Struthio camelus: one gene and its partner. The protein of the gene in region 1 binds, or shares a complex with, the protein of each later gene. Links are inferred from orthologs where the notes say so. Each region holds a gene or a part of one and is shown in the gene's direction. Other genes may lie near its edges.

What was found.
Region 2: the proteins of ALK (region 1) and ALKAL2 are in contact, whole or in part, in a cryo-EM structure (PDB 9G5I), measured with the Homo sapiens proteins. The link is inferred for Struthio camelus from reciprocal best matches to the Homo sapiens genes ALK and ALKAL2. Residues at the interface, in NP_004295.2 of Homo sapiens: Leu684, Tyr739, His755, Ser758, Leu760, Phe856, His857, Glu859, Leu965, Tyr966, Thr967, Pro968, Leu970, Lys971, Val972, Met973, Glu974, Glu978, Asn980, Val992, Glu994, Cys995, His996, Met997, Phe1007, Asp1009; in NP_001002919.2 of Homo sapiens: Ser112, Lys113, His114, His116, Arg117, Leu118, His120, Asn121, Thr122, Arg123, Asp124, Arg133, Arg136, Leu137, Arg140, Leu141.

The regions. Positions count from the first base shown.
Region 1 is NC_090944.1:123,891,738-123,900,300, reverse strand, and holds the start of ALK (ALK tyrosine kinase receptor), read left to right. Parts: upstream 1-4,660; coding exon 4,661-5,285; intron 5,286-8,563. UniProt on the Homo sapiens protein: Neuronal receptor tyrosine kinase that is essentially and transiently expressed in specific regions of the central and peripheral nervous systems and plays an important role in the genesis and differentiation of the nervous system.
Region 2 is NC_090944.1:30,143,086-30,152,555, forward strand, and holds the start of ALKAL2 (ALK and LTK ligand 2), read left to right. Parts: upstream 1-5,891; 5' UTR 5,892-6,209; intron 6,210-7,217; 5' UTR 7,218-7,296; coding exon 7,297-7,555; intron 7,556-9,414; exon of another isoform or gene 9,415-9,470. UniProt on the Homo sapiens protein: Cytokine that acts as a physiological ligand for receptor tyrosine kinases LTK and ALK, leading to their activation. Cytokine-binding is sufficient to activate LTK. In contrast, ALKAL2-driven activation of ALK is coupled with heparin-binding to ALK.

The DNA.
Region 1 (8,563 bases):
TGTGTACGGACACTTTACTTTGAAGTCTTGCCGATAGACCTTGGGTCTAATATATCCCTGTAGGACAAATAAGCAGTGACTTGGATTGGGAGCTGCTTGGGTTGGGGAGAACAGAAATGGTGTCTCCAGCTGTTCTGCACACCTTCAGGAGTGCTGGTAACACTCAGCAGTACTGATTTCTTCCCAAAATCTAGTGCGAAAACACTGTTCTTAACTACCATTTCTTGGCTTGTAGCTTGGCATAGTTCCTCAGCAATATTTCATCTCCCTTTTCTTTGCTCTAACTGTCCTGCCTAAATTATTAACTCTCTCAGTGCTGTCTCCACATTGTTGCTGGTGTGTGAAGGCAGTGTTGCCTAAGGAGTTGACACTGTGCACAGTCTCAGCTAAATCTAAGCAGAAATGTTAAAACAAAGCAATTGCTGATGCTTGCTCAGTCTATTATGTACCCGTCTTCCGCTCACAGTACTGCAGTTTGCAAGTCTTCTGGTTAATTTTTTCAGCCCTGTGATGCTGCTCAGCTCTAATTTCTCGTGGTAGTATTTCACATGAAGTTCTGGCAAAGGTTTACTAGGGTGTGGATATACTACATTTACTGGATCTCTCCCAAAATCTAAACAGTTGCAATTAGAGCCCCAACAAGTGATAAAGCTTGCCTGGCACAAGTTTCGTAAGGCTGGAGGTCTGTGAATCTTTTATGGGCAGACTGTGCTTTCCGGGGTGTCACGCTCTCAGCTCTGGGACACTGCTCTGCTTCCTCTGAAGTGCCCTTTCTGGCATGTTCTTTCATTCTTTTGCTGGCGCTGAAATGTAGACCTATCTATGTGACTCTTTTTTTCTCCACTGTAAAGTTAGTACTGCATTTAATTTTCCCCCTATCCTTTGAGACCTCCTTGGTTTTCCTCCGCTTTTCAAAATTAATTGCCAGTGACATAGTCAATTCATTAGCTAAATTAAAACCCTGGGAACCATATTGTCCGGATCTGCTGATCCCAGCCTATCAAAGAGTTGTACAAAGTATTTCCTTACCTGTCCTTCATTAGCAGCTGTATTGACCGGGCTTCTATTACTTCCCAATTGTCCATACTACTCTTCTTGTTAAAGACCTCTTGAAAAGGGAGAAAAAAGAGGCAGCGCAGCAACTCAACCACTGCAGATCCCTCATTGATTTCCTTGCCTCTCTCTTCATTCATTAATGGATCCGTCTTCACTTTTTCTCTTTAGATGTATTAACGGCTGTTCCTATTTCATTTGATGCCTATTAGTCAAGACACCTCTTTGATTCAGTTTTCAGTTCTAACCTTTTTGTGATTCATGGCAGAGAAACAAGGTAATACAGTAGGAAAAGAACACATCTGTATGTTTTGATGCTCCCTACCTGATTTCCTTGGGACCATTAAATAACATTCTTTTAGCTGCTATGACAATTTCAGGATGCTGCTTTTTCTGCTTTTTTTTTTTTTTTCCAGGCGCACTCAAATTATTTCACTGAGTGCTGTGTGTGCTTTAGGAATGCTGCATCGTAACCCAAATGCGGGCAAAAGCCACCATCCCTTTGTCTTATCCCCAGGCGTCTCAGCATTTTTCTCCTACAATCCCCCAGGGGACAACCCCAAAACAACTGGCACAATCACTTGCGTCCATACAGCACCCACACCGCTGACACTGACCAGGAGGTTGGGTTGTACTTCGGGTCATAAGTAGAAGGAGATATGTTTACGAGAGAGCAGATTTAGTAGGGCCTTTGTTTGTATGCAGTGCCCAGACAATGTTGCTGTTATCCTACCCCTGTCACAATAGATCTAGTTCTTCATATATCTTCTCCAGCATCCTCCCACAAGGCAGAAGGCCAGTCCTAGCAGGGTACTATTGACCTGAAGACTGACTGCTGCTCAGTGGGCTCCAGAAAAATGAATCCCTGTATTCCTAGGTTGGGCACATCACAAAAACTCCCTGTCCTGCTCAGCAGCTTTTTTGGTATTCGTGGTAGAGAAGACAGAGTCCAAAGAGATACGGTGACTGACCTCAACTCTAAGAGAGATATGAATAGGCAGTGTGAAAGAAGGATGCAGTGTGCCATAGCATATTTTTTTATTTCATTCTGAGGAGAAATCAGAGAGCGAAGTTTCTAGTTATGCCAGTCTGACTCATTGCTGGGGCCAACTCTGACTTCCTAGTTATGATGAAAGTCAGTGAGATGTCTGTATAATTTCCAAGATAAAGAGCAAAGTTGAGGAGATACACTCTATCTTAGCAGGATGTTGGGGATAAATGAATCAGTCAAATTATTCTGCTCCTAGTAGCTGAGTTGAAAATCTGAACTGTGTCCTGGGCCTACCCTATTAAAGTCAGTGGGAGACTGGCCATTCACTGAAGTGAGCAGAGCATTAAGCCCTGTTTGACTGAATCTTAGAGGAAAATACTAAGAACTGAAAACTGTAGAAGTCCCATAGTAGAGACTTCATTTGATGGAAATCTGATATGCGCAAGCAGGAAAACAGTCTATAATAAACTGTGAAAGAGATTTTTAGAACATTTTCTTCCAGTGCCCAACATACCATTTTTTTGCGGTAATTGTCGTTCTTTTTGAGAGAGACTCACTCGCATTTAATACTCCTCCAGAGGAAGATGATAGTCCAAAATAATTTGGAGAATAGAGCAGGTCTGAGGACCTAGTTCTCAATCCATGAATGTGCACATTAGTAGGACTATCCACTAGAGTAAAAGATGCTGCTGAGTTAAAAGGCCGGAGGCCCATGATTGATTCAGTCCATTTAACATTTTTTTCCAATAAGGATTTTGAGGTCAAGAGAATAAAAGCATACAGATCAAGTTGAAATATTTGTATGTTGGATGTTGTGTCCCAAGACACTTGTATGTGTTCAGTTTGCAAAAAGTAAAAATATGGCGAATTTCCCACCCTTCTAAGGGGCATAATGCTGGCTCTGAACAGATGCCAAGTGGGGTGTTTCCAACAGTTTCCTCTTTTAAGAAAAGGAAGACCAAGGCCCAAAGTATTACTAAAACTTACAAGTGAAGGATTAGGGTTCACCGGTAGGACAAGTGAATCTAGTGGATTGTAAAATAACAGCAGCTATGGGGAAAAGCGGGTACGACCCAAGCCCATTAGCATCGGTTGGGACAACATGCATCCTCTTCGATGAGCTTTGAATTCTCAAGAACTATATTAGACTAAATATGGCAGAAAAGTTCTTTGTTGAATTAAGCATATTATATAACTATTCCTGTGATACTTGCCCTGAAGTTCCTTCTTTAACTCTTCTGTGTAGAAAAAATCCTGGTTCTCTTTTCTAACATTGTGCCTGCAATCACACTCTTTGGCACTACAATTATGGAGGGATTACACTGTGATTCTACTCCACAATATCTGTATATTAACGCTAATTTGATATAAGCAGAAGAATAACCACATGACAGAATAATTGCACTCTAATGATTATATAGTTAAAGTACCTGGATTATAAAAATATACATGCATTAAGTATCAAACTAAAGAGATAATAATAAGGCATTAATTCATATAGGCAACTTCCAGAAATATGAATGAGTTATGATTAGCTATCCTAAGGCATAGCACTAATGTAATTACAGTAATTATATTGTATTTATTAAAGGTAAAAAAGGGGGAAATTGTAGCATGAGCCATTCTTAAGGCTGTTGTTTCCATTCTGAAATGGAACATTTTTGTTCATTTTTTAATATGACTTATGCTCTAAGATTTCTTTTTTTCCCCCCTCACTTCTTCTTCTGCAGAGGAAAGCTATACAGGGTTGTTTGGGAGACCTCAGTCTTTAAGGAGAGAAGGAAGGAGGGAAAGGAAGGAAGGAAAAAGGGAAGGAGGGAGGGAAAACGGGAAGGAAAAGGAAGGAGAAGGAGGGAGGGAGGCAGGAGGGAAAGAAGGAAAGGGAGGGAGGGAAAATGAACGGCGCTGTCCACCACTGCCTGCACAGAGAGAAAGGGAAGAGCGGCCCGGGCGGGCCCCGGGACTCCAGGGCCCGACAGCGCACGGCGGCACCGCCTGGGGCCCGCCCCGCGGCTGGGGCCGGGGGCTCGGCCGGGTGGCGCGGGGGTGCGGGGGCGCCGCCAAGCCCCGGCCCTGCCTGCCCGGAGCGCGGGGCCGCCGCCGCCGCCCCCCCCGGCGCTGCGCATCCCCGACGCGGCGGCGCGGCGCCCCGGCACCCCTCCCGTCGGGGCGGCCGGGGGCGGCCGGGCTATTTTTTTCTCAATGAACTCGCCCCCCCGCCCCGCCCCCGTCATATTTGCATAATGACGGCTGCCGGGGACGGCATTGGCTGCTGCCGGGCGGGCTCGGGCGTGATGTCAGCGCTCGCCGGGTAATGCCTGCGTTGTGGCGGGTAGTTGGAGCCGGCAAAGCCCGCGCGGCGGCGGCGGCGGCAGCAGCAGCAGCAGCAGCGGCGGCGGCGGCGGCGGCAGCAGCATCGGCCTCGGCACCGGCGGTCCCGGGCGCACCGGCCTCGGCAGCGGCCCCGGCCCCGCGCTCCTCGGCCCCGCGCTCCTCGGCCGCAGCGGCCCCGGCCCCCGGGGCGCACCGGCCCCGGTGCCGCTCCGTCGGGGCAGGACGGGGCGGCGGCGCAGCGGGGCGCGCCCCGAGCGGCCGCCGAGGGCGGGCGGGCGGGCCATGGCGGGGGACCGGCTGCCCGTCCGCCTGCTGGCCGCCGCCTGCCTCGCCCTGAGCCTGGCGGCGGCGGCGGCAGCGGGGCCGGCGACGCCGCGGGAGAGCGCCGGCTTCTCGCGGCTGCAGCGGAAGAGCCTGGCCGTGGACTTCGTCGTGCCCTCGCTGTTCCGGACCTACGTGCGGGAGCTGGTGCTGGGGCCGCCGGGGCTGGCGGCAGCGGCGCGGTGCCGCTTGCGGCTGGACTGCGCGCCGCTGCTGCGCGCCGCCCGCGGGGGGCTGCCGCGGGCCGCGCCGCCCGCCCGCCCCGGCGGCCCCGGCGCGGCGCTGCCCGGCGGCCCGGCTCGGAGGCTGCGCCGCGCCAAGCAGCTGGTGCTGGAGGTGGGCGAGGGCAGCCTGCGCGACGGCTGCGCCGCCGAGCCGCCGCCGAGCCCCGGCGGGGCGGGCGGCGCGGCGCAGCTGGAGTTCAACCTCACCGAGCTCTTCGCCGGCTGGCTGCGCGCCGGCCAGGGCCGCCTGCGGGTGCGCCTGATGCCCGAGCGGCGGGCCGCCCTGCTGGGCAGGGAGCGAGGGCTCTCGGCGGCCATCCGCGCCGCCCGGCCCCGGCTCCTCTTCCACGTCTCGGCGGCAGGTGAGCTGCGCGTTGCATGCCGCCGCGCCCCGCTCCGCGCCCATCCCCGCGGCCGCCCGGCCGCCCGGCCCTGCCCTCCGCGCCCTGCGCAGCCACTGCGCCTTCCCCACCCTCGGCAAACACCCGGCCCGCCCACGCGGTCGCCCCGTCGCTGCTCTAGCCCCGTGGGTGCGGGGGGAGATGCGGGAAGTGGTCGCGGCTTTCCCCTTGGCGGCTGAGAGATGCAGCGGCGGGTCCGCGGGGCCACGCTCCGAAAGCGCCGAGGGCTTGCACGAAACGCGAAGGGTTCGTTTGTGCCTGGCGGCCACATGCAAAACCCACGGGCAAAGCCCTCATTGCTCTGCGGAGAGCGAGATAAGGCTCTTGGAAACTTAAAAATGCCATCTTAGAAGGGGCAAGTTTACGCAAGTGCAGCAAGCGATCCCCAGGTTATGTGCAGGCAGACCTCAGGGAATAGGAGAAACACGTCCAAAGCGGAGCTGACCAGCAGATCGATACGTCACTGCTGATAGTGATACGTGACAGTATTATTTCTCCTCTTAAAGATACAAGGTAATGGGCTAACACATAAACATGTACGTGGAGCTGGTGCTTCTCTGAGTTTCATGTATCTGAAACTGGGTTAATTTCTATCAAAAATCATTGAGCATCCTTAGCGAACTGCACTGTAGGAGATCCAGTAAGACAAAAAGTTATTCATCTGAGGAGCCTCACTTACCACTGGTGTTTTTCTGAAGAAAGAATGTGGCTTAAAATATTGGTTCCAGACTGCAGTTATTTGCAGTCAGGATACGGGGCAGCTCCGTTACCTCTAATCAAGTCTCTGCTTTGGGCTAGTAATCAAGAAAGCTTTCCATTCTGTGCATGCGATTTACCTTTAACACTAGCTCTTATTCAGGCTGTCCCACTGAAAGAATGTAGTACCTATAGGACTGCAGGGTCAAATAATTTGTTACAGTGAATTAAGTTAGGTAGCTTTCATGAAGCTATGTAGAAGTCAATGGTGCGTTCCTGAGTAGCCACCTAGTTAATGGACCAGGGAGTATACTTAAGCAAATTCACAAGAGGTGAGACAAGTCAGTGCTGGGCTTTGAATACAAAGTTGAAGCAACTGATTTCTGACGCTCCACTGAAAAGCTGGGCCAGCAACTGGAATAAGTGCAAACTGAACTCATATCATTCCTTGCTGCCTGACGCCAAAATCAAAGCAGGTTGTCAGAGCAGGGTCTATGTGATCCAGTCTTATACTCATGGCTGGCACGAGATGCCCTGGTTATCTTCCTGTACGAATTCTGGCAGGGGTAAGGCAGAGGTACTTTCTACCACAAGGTGGCCAGGCGAGGTCAAAAACAAACCAAAAAACCCAGAAAAACCTGCTTGCTGTTTTCATCATTTGGGAATTTATTGTGAGGTGCACTTGTCTTGCTTCACCGTTGGACAGTTAAGATGTAGCTTTAGCTTTTAATGCCAGCTTAGACCCAGTGCTTTTAGTAATAGAGGGGCTGGAGAGCGTGCACTTGCCCTCTGTGAGGATGAAGGTGTGTCTGTGACCCTGGCGAAGGGAGTCCGTGTGGACTAACAAGGTGCTCTGGTCTTAGGAAGACAAGGCAGATGGAACTTTAACTAAAGTTAGTAACCCTTCAGGCTTTGGACGTTGTCTTCGCTGTTGAGAAGAAATGCATACTTTTACAGATAGGTGACTAGTAGTTAGGCATTCCCCTGTAAAATCACGTTGGAGACACGGCTCTGCAGTCTTTACTGCAATATAGTCATACACAGTCAATCATAGGGGACGCAGGAATAGGAGGAAGAGAGAAGAAGGAATATTGACCTCATCTACCTGTATCACAGCAATAACCACTCCTAACAGAGGTTCCTAATCTCTAAAAATCCGAGTCTCCCCTTGAATTTTACACCAACGTGCATAACATGCATAGGCTGTGTCGCTATAAAATTATACTCTGCTTTTTTAGCAATGAAAACTTAGTGTACTTAGGCTATTACATGACTTTGCATTAGGTTTGTAACGTGGGTTTGCTAAACACATTAAAAATCCATTCTTTCTGCTTTGTGAAGATACTGCCTGTTTGAACACCATGTGTCACTGCCATACTTCAATTCGTGCCATATAGCCCTGCCGATAGCAGGACGTGCTGACACGGTGATAACATCCAGCAGCCTGTAAGCGTGAGGAATGCAGCCATTATTAACGCCGTTGCAGCTAATGTGTGCGGGGCTTAGCTAAAGCCCTTCCTAAGGCGACTGAGCCTTGCCTTCATTGCTTAAGTTAATTGGAAATGGATTGCAAGCAACACAATCCTACCATCAATAATGTAAAGCTGCCTCACTTATTTTGGCATATTTAGCTTTTTTTTTTTTTTTTTTCTTTCTTGTTAGAGAGGCTCAGCATTGCCGTACTTCCCAGGGAAAGATGTAATTACCTTGCTAAATTATTTTGGCAAAATTATCCTCCATATGAATGGAGACTGAAATATATTTTAGGATGAGAAAAAACTGCAAGGAGCTCAATTCCCATTGTCTTTAAGGGTTATGGAAGAGTCCCTTAAAAGTGCTCTATTCTCCTTAACTGTTACACTCCCTGATACTGGCTTAAAGATATTAAACCAGAGTGAACTCTTTTCCTTTCTAACAACATGTTTGCACAAAGCAATGTAATGTAATTTGCCTCAGTGTGTTACTGAACAATTAGTAAAAGATGTACTAACTGGACTGCTGCTGTTTAACAGACAAACCATGAAGTTCACGGGAATTTTTATAGGGCTTTCTGCAAATATTCTCAATGCCAGATTTCTCACATGCACTCATCCTTGTGGGAATGGAGTACCCTGCAAAAAAGAGCTTCCAATTTCAGAAGCTCTGGTCCCAAGCCCATCCACAATTTCTATGTCAGCTTGGCCTTTCCAGAATTGGCTAAGAGACAGTTTTCCTCTCTTGGAAATGCTTCAAGAATTAATACTGGCTTCCTCTCCTTCCCCTAGTGCTTCTCTGGGACAAAATCAAATTCATTTCAATCTTTTTGTGGAAACACAAACAATAAAAATTGCACAAGAAGGGAGGGGCAAGCTCAGAGAGCATCACCGTGCTGCAAACCTCCCATGTTTTAGGCAAGCCTCCCAACTACCAGGTTGCTGGTGACTTTGCTGTCATTTTCTTTGATGTTGACTGGAAATTCCATCCCCGCCTCCAAGGAAACCTTTCCCGAATCAGTTTAATCAAAACCAATACCTTCCCACGGGAAACTGATCTGCCGGCAAACC
Region 2 (9,470 bases), about 94 Mb from region 1:
TACAGCTGGGCTGCAATGCTGGTTTCTGGAAGGACAGACCCACTGACTATTTCATAGCCACATGATCTTCCAAAGGGTACACTTGCCTACAAAACAGTCTCTAGACCATGATCTTACTGACAGGCATACTCTGCATCTGAAGTGTAAACAGTTGCCCAGTTGACCACCAGAAAGTCATGGAGCCTACCTACTAAATAAACAGCATGTCTGCCTACTGATTATCCACAGCGGGAAAAAAGTACCACAACTTTTTAAAGAGGCAGATACTTGTGCTTAGTATTCACATGCTGAAAGTGACTCACATGAGACATCCTTACGTTTATATAAGATGGCATATATTTTTCAACATTTATTTTTTTTTAAAGTGATACTTACACATAGTGAGATGACATTATCAAATTTAGACTGTACTATCAAAACATGTTATCATTTATCAGCTATGGCTCTATAAAACACATGTGATTCACTTGTCTCTTTGAGCTAAGAACTATAGTTGGGAATGAAAGAGCAAGCTACTCTGCCACTAAAACAACTGAGTTCTTATGCATACTGAAGCCATCTTCATTCCTTTTGTGGCACAGAGAGATCAGAGCAGGCCAGAGAAAGCAATGCCTTCTATCAGCTAGTGAGAGAAATCAGCTAGGGATTTTACTCTTGCTCTTACATGGAAAGACAGCTACTATACCTGCAGCTATGTAACTCTAAGGCAAACAGACAGCAGTCAACAATGAACACACATATAGCAGGCCCACTGCTGCATATCGGATACAGATAAAGAAGGGTCTTCCTCTGAACTGCTTATGGCCTCAAAAACAGTTTCTTAGAGTGGAATTAGCCTCCCACCTTCCATTAGTTGTTTAAAAGTTAGGAGTCTGGTCTTTGTTAGTGTCTCGCTATAGTCAATAGTCTACCATGAAGAGGAGCTTGACTTGCTTCTCTGTAGCATTTATCTTTATTCTGCAAAGTTAAGTATCTCCAAAAAACTATAGATGGAATAATTCGGAGTACTTTTCTTCAGCCTCTGGTTTCTGAACCTTGAAATTCCAGGGGATACTTTGAAAACTATGAAAGGTAACTAGACAAAGTGACACTATTCTCATAGGACACACATTTCCTCCAGCTTGTTCAGTGGGATTTCCACAGTCGGTTTGCACTGGTGCAGCACCACAAAACTAACCGAATATAATGTTGAATCTGGCTCAGTGACTGAAGTGTTGGCCAACGCAGAGCTGTCTTTAGCCTTGAATTTACAGGTAGAGAATATTATAGGCAGAAATCTGCTCTTTTAAACTCTCTACCAAAAACATCAGGCCGGCCCTGCCTGTAACGCTGACAGAACGTTTAGGAAGTATATCAAAGTTCTCCAGTCTTGGTTGCCGTGATGATTAATGGGATTTTAATCTTCTTGGCATTTGGACCAGGTAGGAAGCGAGGAAAGCCCTTAAAATACTCAATTGGCTTTAATACCCTAACATCTGTTGAAGTTTTTGTTCACGTTATGTATGTTCTCTGGTTGATTTCAGCACTACAGGAATTCGTAATGCCTCATCTCTGCCCTCCCCAGCAGCTGTCACTGCATTGGGCATTGCCTCTGAGAGTTGGAGGCTCACAGAGATGACTGAGCCAGGTGCATAAATATTATTTTACACTTAGGTACAATACATTATATTGAAAACATATTCAACAGTTTCATAAATTGGAACAGAGATTTTGGAAAAAAACATCTGTTGGATGCTACATATATATTTTCCTATCTAGAATTTTAAAATAACTATCATAAACATAGCTTCCAAAGTAATACCCGCATGCTCTGCTCACAGAAATGTAGCTAACCTAACAGTGGCCAGAAAGAAAATCTACTTGTCATTTGCCAGTGCAGGTATTCTTGAATCATCAGGTAGGATAAACTTCCTCTTAAAGAATTACTGACTTCCGTATGGGATAAAAAGTCGCCACATATGGTGGATGTGATCTATACTTTGCAAGTCCAGTTGTCAAGTCAGTCAACGGATAGCCACTCAAGAAACCCAACAGAATTACCAGCTCCATACCATCTCATCATATTTATTTTTATCATGATTGACATATAACTTGAAGAAGATTAAATATTGCTTTTCTTCTGTGAGGACTGAAAAGTCTGTTTTTTAAACTCACAGGGTAACTTTTTAGAATTTTTATAAGCAGTTGGAATGCTTATGGGGAAAAAAAGGATTTCAAAACATCATTTTGAGGTTCTGAGGTCAATAGAGAGCGATACAAGAAGCATTTTCATAGTCTAGTCATATGAATGTCCGCTGGAATTTTCTAAGTGTACACTCAGTTCATATATTGGTTATGAGCTTGATTTAGACAATCAGCTCTGCTCTGCAATCACTTCAGAAAATGTTGCACTTGCTTTTATTAAATATAGATAGGAACCCTTATGTCTGTTATAATCAGCTGAAACAAGAGCACGCTTGAAACTGTAAGGCTCTTAGCATGAAAATTTCACCAGTTTTAGAAGACAGAACCAAGTACACATATTCTTGTTTTCACGTACGCCCCGTAAGTTTAAAAAAAAAAAGTGAAGATATCTTTAACATTCTAGCATGGCATTAGAGAAAGGAATTGGTGAAAGTTAGTAAAATTGCTACCCAGAAAACAGTGACTACCGTGTGTTAGTTAATGACGCTAGAAATTCCACTTTGGTTTTTGTTCCAAATTCCAAACTTAGTGCCTCTGCTCCATAACCCACCCAGGGAACGCAGTGTGAAGTCTTCACGCATCAGTGAAGTCTGTCCACCCAATACAGCATTCAGTCTTCTTTTTTTTTACTTTGTGCTTGCTTCACATGGTCCTTATTCAGAGGATTAAGATGTTCACTTTAAAAATAGATTTGATTGCCGAGGAGACCACTAACTTGATGTTCTGTAAACATAAGCCAAAAAATCACATCAGGAGTTTTTTTTTAATGAAATCTATCCCTGCAGGACAAGCCAAAATACTCATTATGTTGTAATATCTCTTTGGCTTCCTCATCCAAGATTGTGTTGCTTTTTGAGACTGGGGGCCATATCACCCTCTCCACCTTCTTTCAAGGAACGCAAGAAGAAAGTCTTTCTTTATGTCCATGTGCAGCTGGCTGAGAAGGTGTGTTCATCTGTCATTTCTATCTGAAGGCATCCGAACTTACATCTTGTAAATCCTGGGAGCATGCTTTCTTCAGCATCCAGGCTGCTTAGTGCCATCAAGAGTCAGATGCTTCCCAATATCCAGAAAAGAACTCCAAGCACCTCTGAGCTTTAATGGCAAAACAGTGCACCTACTCACTTCCGAAGCCTCAAGAGTCAGATTGAAGGCGGGCAGAAGTCTTGGAGATCGCAGTTTCACCCATATATATGCAGAGAAGGTGTTTGGTAGTATTTCAGTGGTAAGCACTTAGATAGTTAGTTAAATCTAGCCCTAAGAAAATGTACTTGATAACATGTAATATGCTGGAACATTAAATTATCATCCCAAATCTATCAGTGTAAATTTCAGTTAACTCCACTGAAGACATGGGAGCTAGCATTTATCTGTGTATAAATCAATGTAAACAAATCAAAATAGACCACTGCCTCAGTTTCTGCATGCATAAAAAGACAACAGATTGTGTATTACCTACTTTATAGCTCAGTGAATATTTTCATAGTACTTTGAGTCTACATCTATATTAGTAAATTAAAGAGGAATAACCCTGGACATCTGAATGAAATTGCCTACATCGTCAATTTGTCCTTGGCATGCTTTTGGTTCACGCCAGCTAACGCTTTCCCTAACTCATGCTGGAGTTATTGTTTCCAAAGCGATTAATTTGGAAGAAGTATTACTTATAATTACTTGTAATAATTACTCGCAATAGAAGTAAATAGTGAGAAGTAAATAGTAGAGAAGTAAACAGCAAACTGTCAGATTGTGCAATATCTGTCCAGTTTTCCATCTTTGCTATCTATCTCCTGTCTCGTAGCTATAGTGTTACTATTTGGTATGACTAAATTGCAACTATAACCATACTATGGTTATGCCATGCAAAGTACCATTCTTTCTTACTGATGAACTATCGTTTCATTTTTTTCCCCCAAGTCTCAAGACTAGAAACAAATCACCAAGCCAAAGAGAAACTAGTTTTCTGGACTCCTTTCAAAATTGCTCTTGCTCAATCTTGCCTCTGGATGTCTTTCTTAATCATGCTGTATTGTGTAGCATATCCATATATTTAAAAGTAATAAAATAAGTATTTACAGAAAGACACATATAAAAGGCAAACATAGAGCATGGTGAAATCATCTTTTTTTTTTTCTTCTTCCTTTTGTTTGGAAGCACTTGGAAGCACTTTGGAAGTCAGGAAAACTTATTCCGCGCTGGGTGATTTACAGCTCTTAGTGAGCAGAGGTAACGCGCTCTGCTCGGCAGAAGACGAGGCTCCTTCGAGACGCGCACATGGCCGGCGGCGGCGCGGCCCGCCGCGGGGGGAGGAGCTTCCCTCCACAGCCGAGCCCAGCCGTTGCCCGCAGCCGTTAACGGCCGGCTCCGCGCGCCTCCTGCGGCCGCGGGCAGGGTCCCCCCAGCCAGCCCCCCGCCCGTGCTGGCTCCGCGCCGCTTCCCTCGGCTCGGCTTCGCCAGGGCTCAGTTTCGCCAGCTGCCACTGCGGGTCACTGTTGCTGCTGCCTGAGGAGAGGAGGACGCCGCGCTCTACCTGACTTCTGTAGCTACCAGAGCGGGGCAGAAGGGGCAGCGCTTCCTCAGTCCCCCGACCTCGCTGCGCGGGAGCGGACGTTATCTGCGGGGTGCCTCCTTCCCCGCAAGTTCACGTCCCGTCCCCTCAATCCGTTCGCCTCCCGCTCCGACCCCCGTCTTCTTCTGGGGTTTGGAAAGTACTCTCACCGCTCGATCCAACTTTGTATTTGTCTTTTGAGCTGCCAAGGGAGAGGTTTATACACACAATCAAAGTAAATAGAAAAGTTCAGTTGGATCATGTTTCACCGTGTTTCACTTCGGCTCCAGAAGTTCTGAGGGGCTTAATGGGGAAACGGAGGGGAACTCTGTTCGGGCTGAAAATCTGTGGTTGGGCGGGAGGTGTTGGGTCTTGCAGGACGGCTCTCGCTCTTACAGGGAAGCATAACGCCGCGTGTTTCCAGGAGGCTTTCGCCTCTTCACGTCTCTCCGACGTCCCCCGTGGTAGTCCCCCTTTATTCAGGTGGTCACCGTTTGCGGACCGAGCTGATGACTGACGAGAGTCTGCAGCGCGCTCCTGTCCGTGGCGCTGCCTTCTCCCCGCTTCGCCCTCCTTCCCCCCCCCCCCCCCGGCCGGCTCTACTGGGAGCGTTTCCAGGCAGTGCCGCGCTGAGAGCCCAGGAAGCCGCCTCACCGCTCGGGACTACCCTTGCCAAGAATAAGCGAGAAAGGCGACACGCCCGCCTCTTCCACCCAGACCCTACTCCCGCCACCTCGCTGCGGGCTTCCCGGTCGGGAGCAGCAGAAAATAGCCTCCCTTTTCCCCAGCCGCTCGCCCCCGCCCCAACACCTCCCCTTCCCCGCCGCAGCCAGACCCGAAGTTCCTGGTAAACACGCGGCTTCCCCGCCCGCCCCCGCGGCGCGGCCCCCGGCGAGTGACGGCCCCGGGGCCGGGGACCCGCCTGACGGCGAGCCGCGCCAAGGGCCATGAATATTTCAGAGGCTTCTCAGCGCGTTTCTAATTAAAGGCTCAGGCTAGGCGCTCCCCCCGCTCCCATCTTCCCGCCGCCGCCCCCTCCCACTCCACACACACACACTTGGGACCGTCTCCTTACGTCGGAGAGAGGAGAAGGAGTGACTGAGCCCTGCCCGGGGAGCTGCGCTAAGGGGAGGGACGGGGGGACCGGGGCGGGAGGGAAGGGAGGGCGGGAAGGGGGGGCTTGTGCGGCAGCGACGCTCCCGAGGTTGCCAAGTGGACTTTTATTGTTTTCCACCCACTTCCAAGTCGATACTATCTGCCGTCTCATGTCCATCCTATAGCCTATATAAGCGGCTGCGCTGGGGCTGGAGGAGATGGAGTAGTTTGTGGATACGGCGGGAGCACAGGGACGGGAGGGGGGCGGGCCAGCCGGGGGAAACTTGGACTCCCCGCCGCTTGCGGGCTGCTGCTGGCCGGGAAAAGTCACGGGAGCGACTCCCGCGGGAAGGAGACATCGGATCCCGGGACGCGGAGGCAGGTAACAACGCTGGGAAGGGCCAGCAGCCCTCCTTGCTCCCTCTCCCTCGCCTCATGCCGCCCCGGCGAAGCGGAGCGCTGCGGGCGGCGCTGCGGGGTGGCCCGGCCACGCGAGTGACAGCCGGCGGGCTGTCCCGGGAAAGTCGGCCCGGCAGAGCGGCCACGCGGCGCGCACCCACGCGCGGGGACGCGCTGGGCAGCCGGCTGCGGGGCTGGCCGCCCCGCGGCACTCGCCGGAGCGGGGAGGTGGCGAGCGGCGCCGCTCGGCTCGGGTCCTCTGCGGGCGCGGTGCGGCTGCTCCGCGCAGGGCTGGTTGTGGCTGCCGCGCTCCTTCCCTGAGTTGGGAGCGAGGAAAAAAAAAAAAAAAAGCAAGGAAAAGTAGGAGTCCGAGAGTGGCGTGTGGGGACGGCGGCAACGTGCGAGCCGTGTCACGGCCATGCCCCCAGCCAAGCAGCGCACCTCCTGCCAGGGCGAGATGCGCGGAGCGCCGGCCGTGCCGGGCCGCAGGGCCAGCGTGGGCTCGCTCGGCGCGCAGCCCCGCGCGCTTCTCCGGCAAAAACTTCGGGCGAAGTCGCCGCCTCCCTCCCGCCTCCAGCCCGTCGGCTGCGCTGCGCGGCCGCGGCCGCCTCCCTCCCGCCTCCAGCCCGTCGGCTGCGCTGCGCGGCCGCGGCGGCACGCGCCGCGGGCCCCTCGCCTCGCTGCGCCGCGCCTGAGCGAGGCGCGCCCCCGCCGCCCGCCGAGCGCCCCCGCCTCGCCCGGCGGCGCGGCTGCGCAGCGCGCCGCTGCGCGCGCCCGCCGGGGGCAGCGCGGGGAGCCCGGCCGCGGGGGCCGCTCGAGCTGCGGTGCGCCGGCTGCGCCGCCGGCCCGGGTGACAGACAGCCGGCCGGGGCGCCCGCACCCGCCTTATGTAACTTGAAAAGCGGACGCCGCGCTCGCCTCCTGCAGTCTTTCCGATTGCACCCCCTTGAGGCTCCCCACCTCCAACCCACCCCCACTTTTTCTCTTTCAGCAGGATAGGGGGCCTCCCACAGCCCCCTGTTCACATCCTTCCTTTTCATCTGGTCGTCCGCCCTCCAGGTCAGATTGCAATGAGTGGACTGAGGTCTCCTGGGTTTCTGGGGCTGATGCTCCTAATGCTCTCAGCAGGATACTGCAAAGAGAAAACTGACTCCACAGATTTGAAGGACAGGCAAAGTCTCTTAAATCTGATCATGGAGATCATTCAGGAACTGAAAAGGTACCACCTGGAGAAGGACAGCGGGGTGCAGTACTTCCCCAAACATGACTACACCTTAGACCGAAGGGAAGCGGCTGACTATGGGGGATACCAGGATGAACAGAGAGTTGGTAAGTTGCAATCCATGACTTAGGGGATCTTTTTCTTTCTGTACTGGCTTGGGGAATCAGAAATCACATTAGCTAGTTTTATATCAAGAATTCATCACTCAAAATATCTGCAATTCCCTCTGGTATCAGAAACTCATACAGACCGCAACTTCAGAATAGAAAAACTCCATTCATGCTTCAGTCTCTCTTTCCCTGGTCAAGGGTACTCAAGAGATCTGCCTTTCAGTTGTGCGTTGGCTTTGAATGTACAATATTAATATGTGAAAACAGTGAAATAGGTTGAGATCAGAGAAATCAGGGATGAAATGGTTCTTCCTCCTGGAAGCTTATCTTTTTTTAAATATGCCTCTTTTCTTTCCTGGAAATGATCCTACCAGTAATTCCTCTGCAGGACTATGCTATGCCCTTAGAGTGTTCACATTTAGAAATCTTTCCTGCAGTTCAGCCTTATTAAACTTTTCACCCCCATTTATTAGCCCCTTTTGTACTCTGGCGCTAGCATCTTTGAAACTGAAACACAGTACTCCACTGTCACTCTACAAGCCACGAATATTTTGAATCATTCCTTCAGTCATCATTCTACTCATTTGAATTGCTCTTCTCTAACCTCCAGTGAAAGTCCAGATTTTTTTTGTAAAATTACGTTCAAAATTGTACAGAGCAGTCCAGAAACAGTCATACTGAGCACCATGATGAAGGAGAGTTAAAGCTGTTTTATAACGTACTTCTGTGCATCCAGCTGAAAGTTGATTTGGCTTCTCCTGCTGCCATGTCTAATTTACTGTTCAGTGTCACTCCCAAACGCCCTCAGCATCACTGCTGCTAAGCTTACACCTCCTACTAGAAATGACTTTCTGAATATTGTCCAACAGATACCTATTCACTTTTTTCCAAACTAGCTTTCAGTTTGCTATTTTGCTATTTATGTTCTCACTCATTCAAAAATCGCAATGATCAGCAGTTGTTGGTGATTGTCACCAAAACGTTACTTCCGCATCTGGAAGATTAATGAATATATAAAGGAAGACTTTTGCTCTACTTAAGACCAGTACACTGGGAACATTTTGTTTTATAAATGTGAAAAAGTTAAGAGGCCAGACTGGCAGCGAACTCTAACCTGTACAATTCTTATGTCTCAACTTGTAATTTGGGCAGAGTTGGCTATCCTACACCTAAAAACTGGTGTGAAAAATCTGGCTTTTGCTGATCCATTTGTCTATGTGACTATAAAAACCACTTGACAGTAGGTTAGTTGGTAGTGGTGTCATTGACTCCTAAACAGGATTTTTCATTCTGTTGTTATAAGCGAATTATTGCCAGCAGCTCTGAAAAGGTTCCTTTTCAGCTCTACAGCTTAGAGTCCTTCATTTCAGTTTAGGTATCATTTTCCCAGTGAGTCTGTCCCCTGGGAAATTCCTCAGTGAAGCATGCGAGTTTTTAATGCTCTTCATGACATAATTAGGTCAAATATGATAAGGTCAATTTTACTTACACTCCCTAAAGTTAGAAGTAAATGAAGAATGACTTTCGAGAAGTGTCTAACCTCACAAGTCAATCAGATCTGGATGGAAATGTTCTCTACTTTATATCTGATAAGAAGTGCCAGGGGAATGAAAAAGGCTGCTCAGGCATTTGTGGCCAAATAAAGCACCATGTAGTGTATCATACACAATCAGCACTAAGCTATCAACATAGAGTTTGTAATGGAGAGCAATCAAAGATAGCTGTAAATCAGGAAGACACAAGCAAGGGTTAGGGCTAAAATGGATTTCAGTAAACCAGTTTCATTTTGCCATCTGCTGAACACAAAACACAAGGCAGTAAACCACAAACATACGGAGCCAGAAGAGAGCAATTTGCTTTGGATCATTTCCTGTGAATTTTATTTACTGCTAGAAGAAAAAGAAAAAAAAAA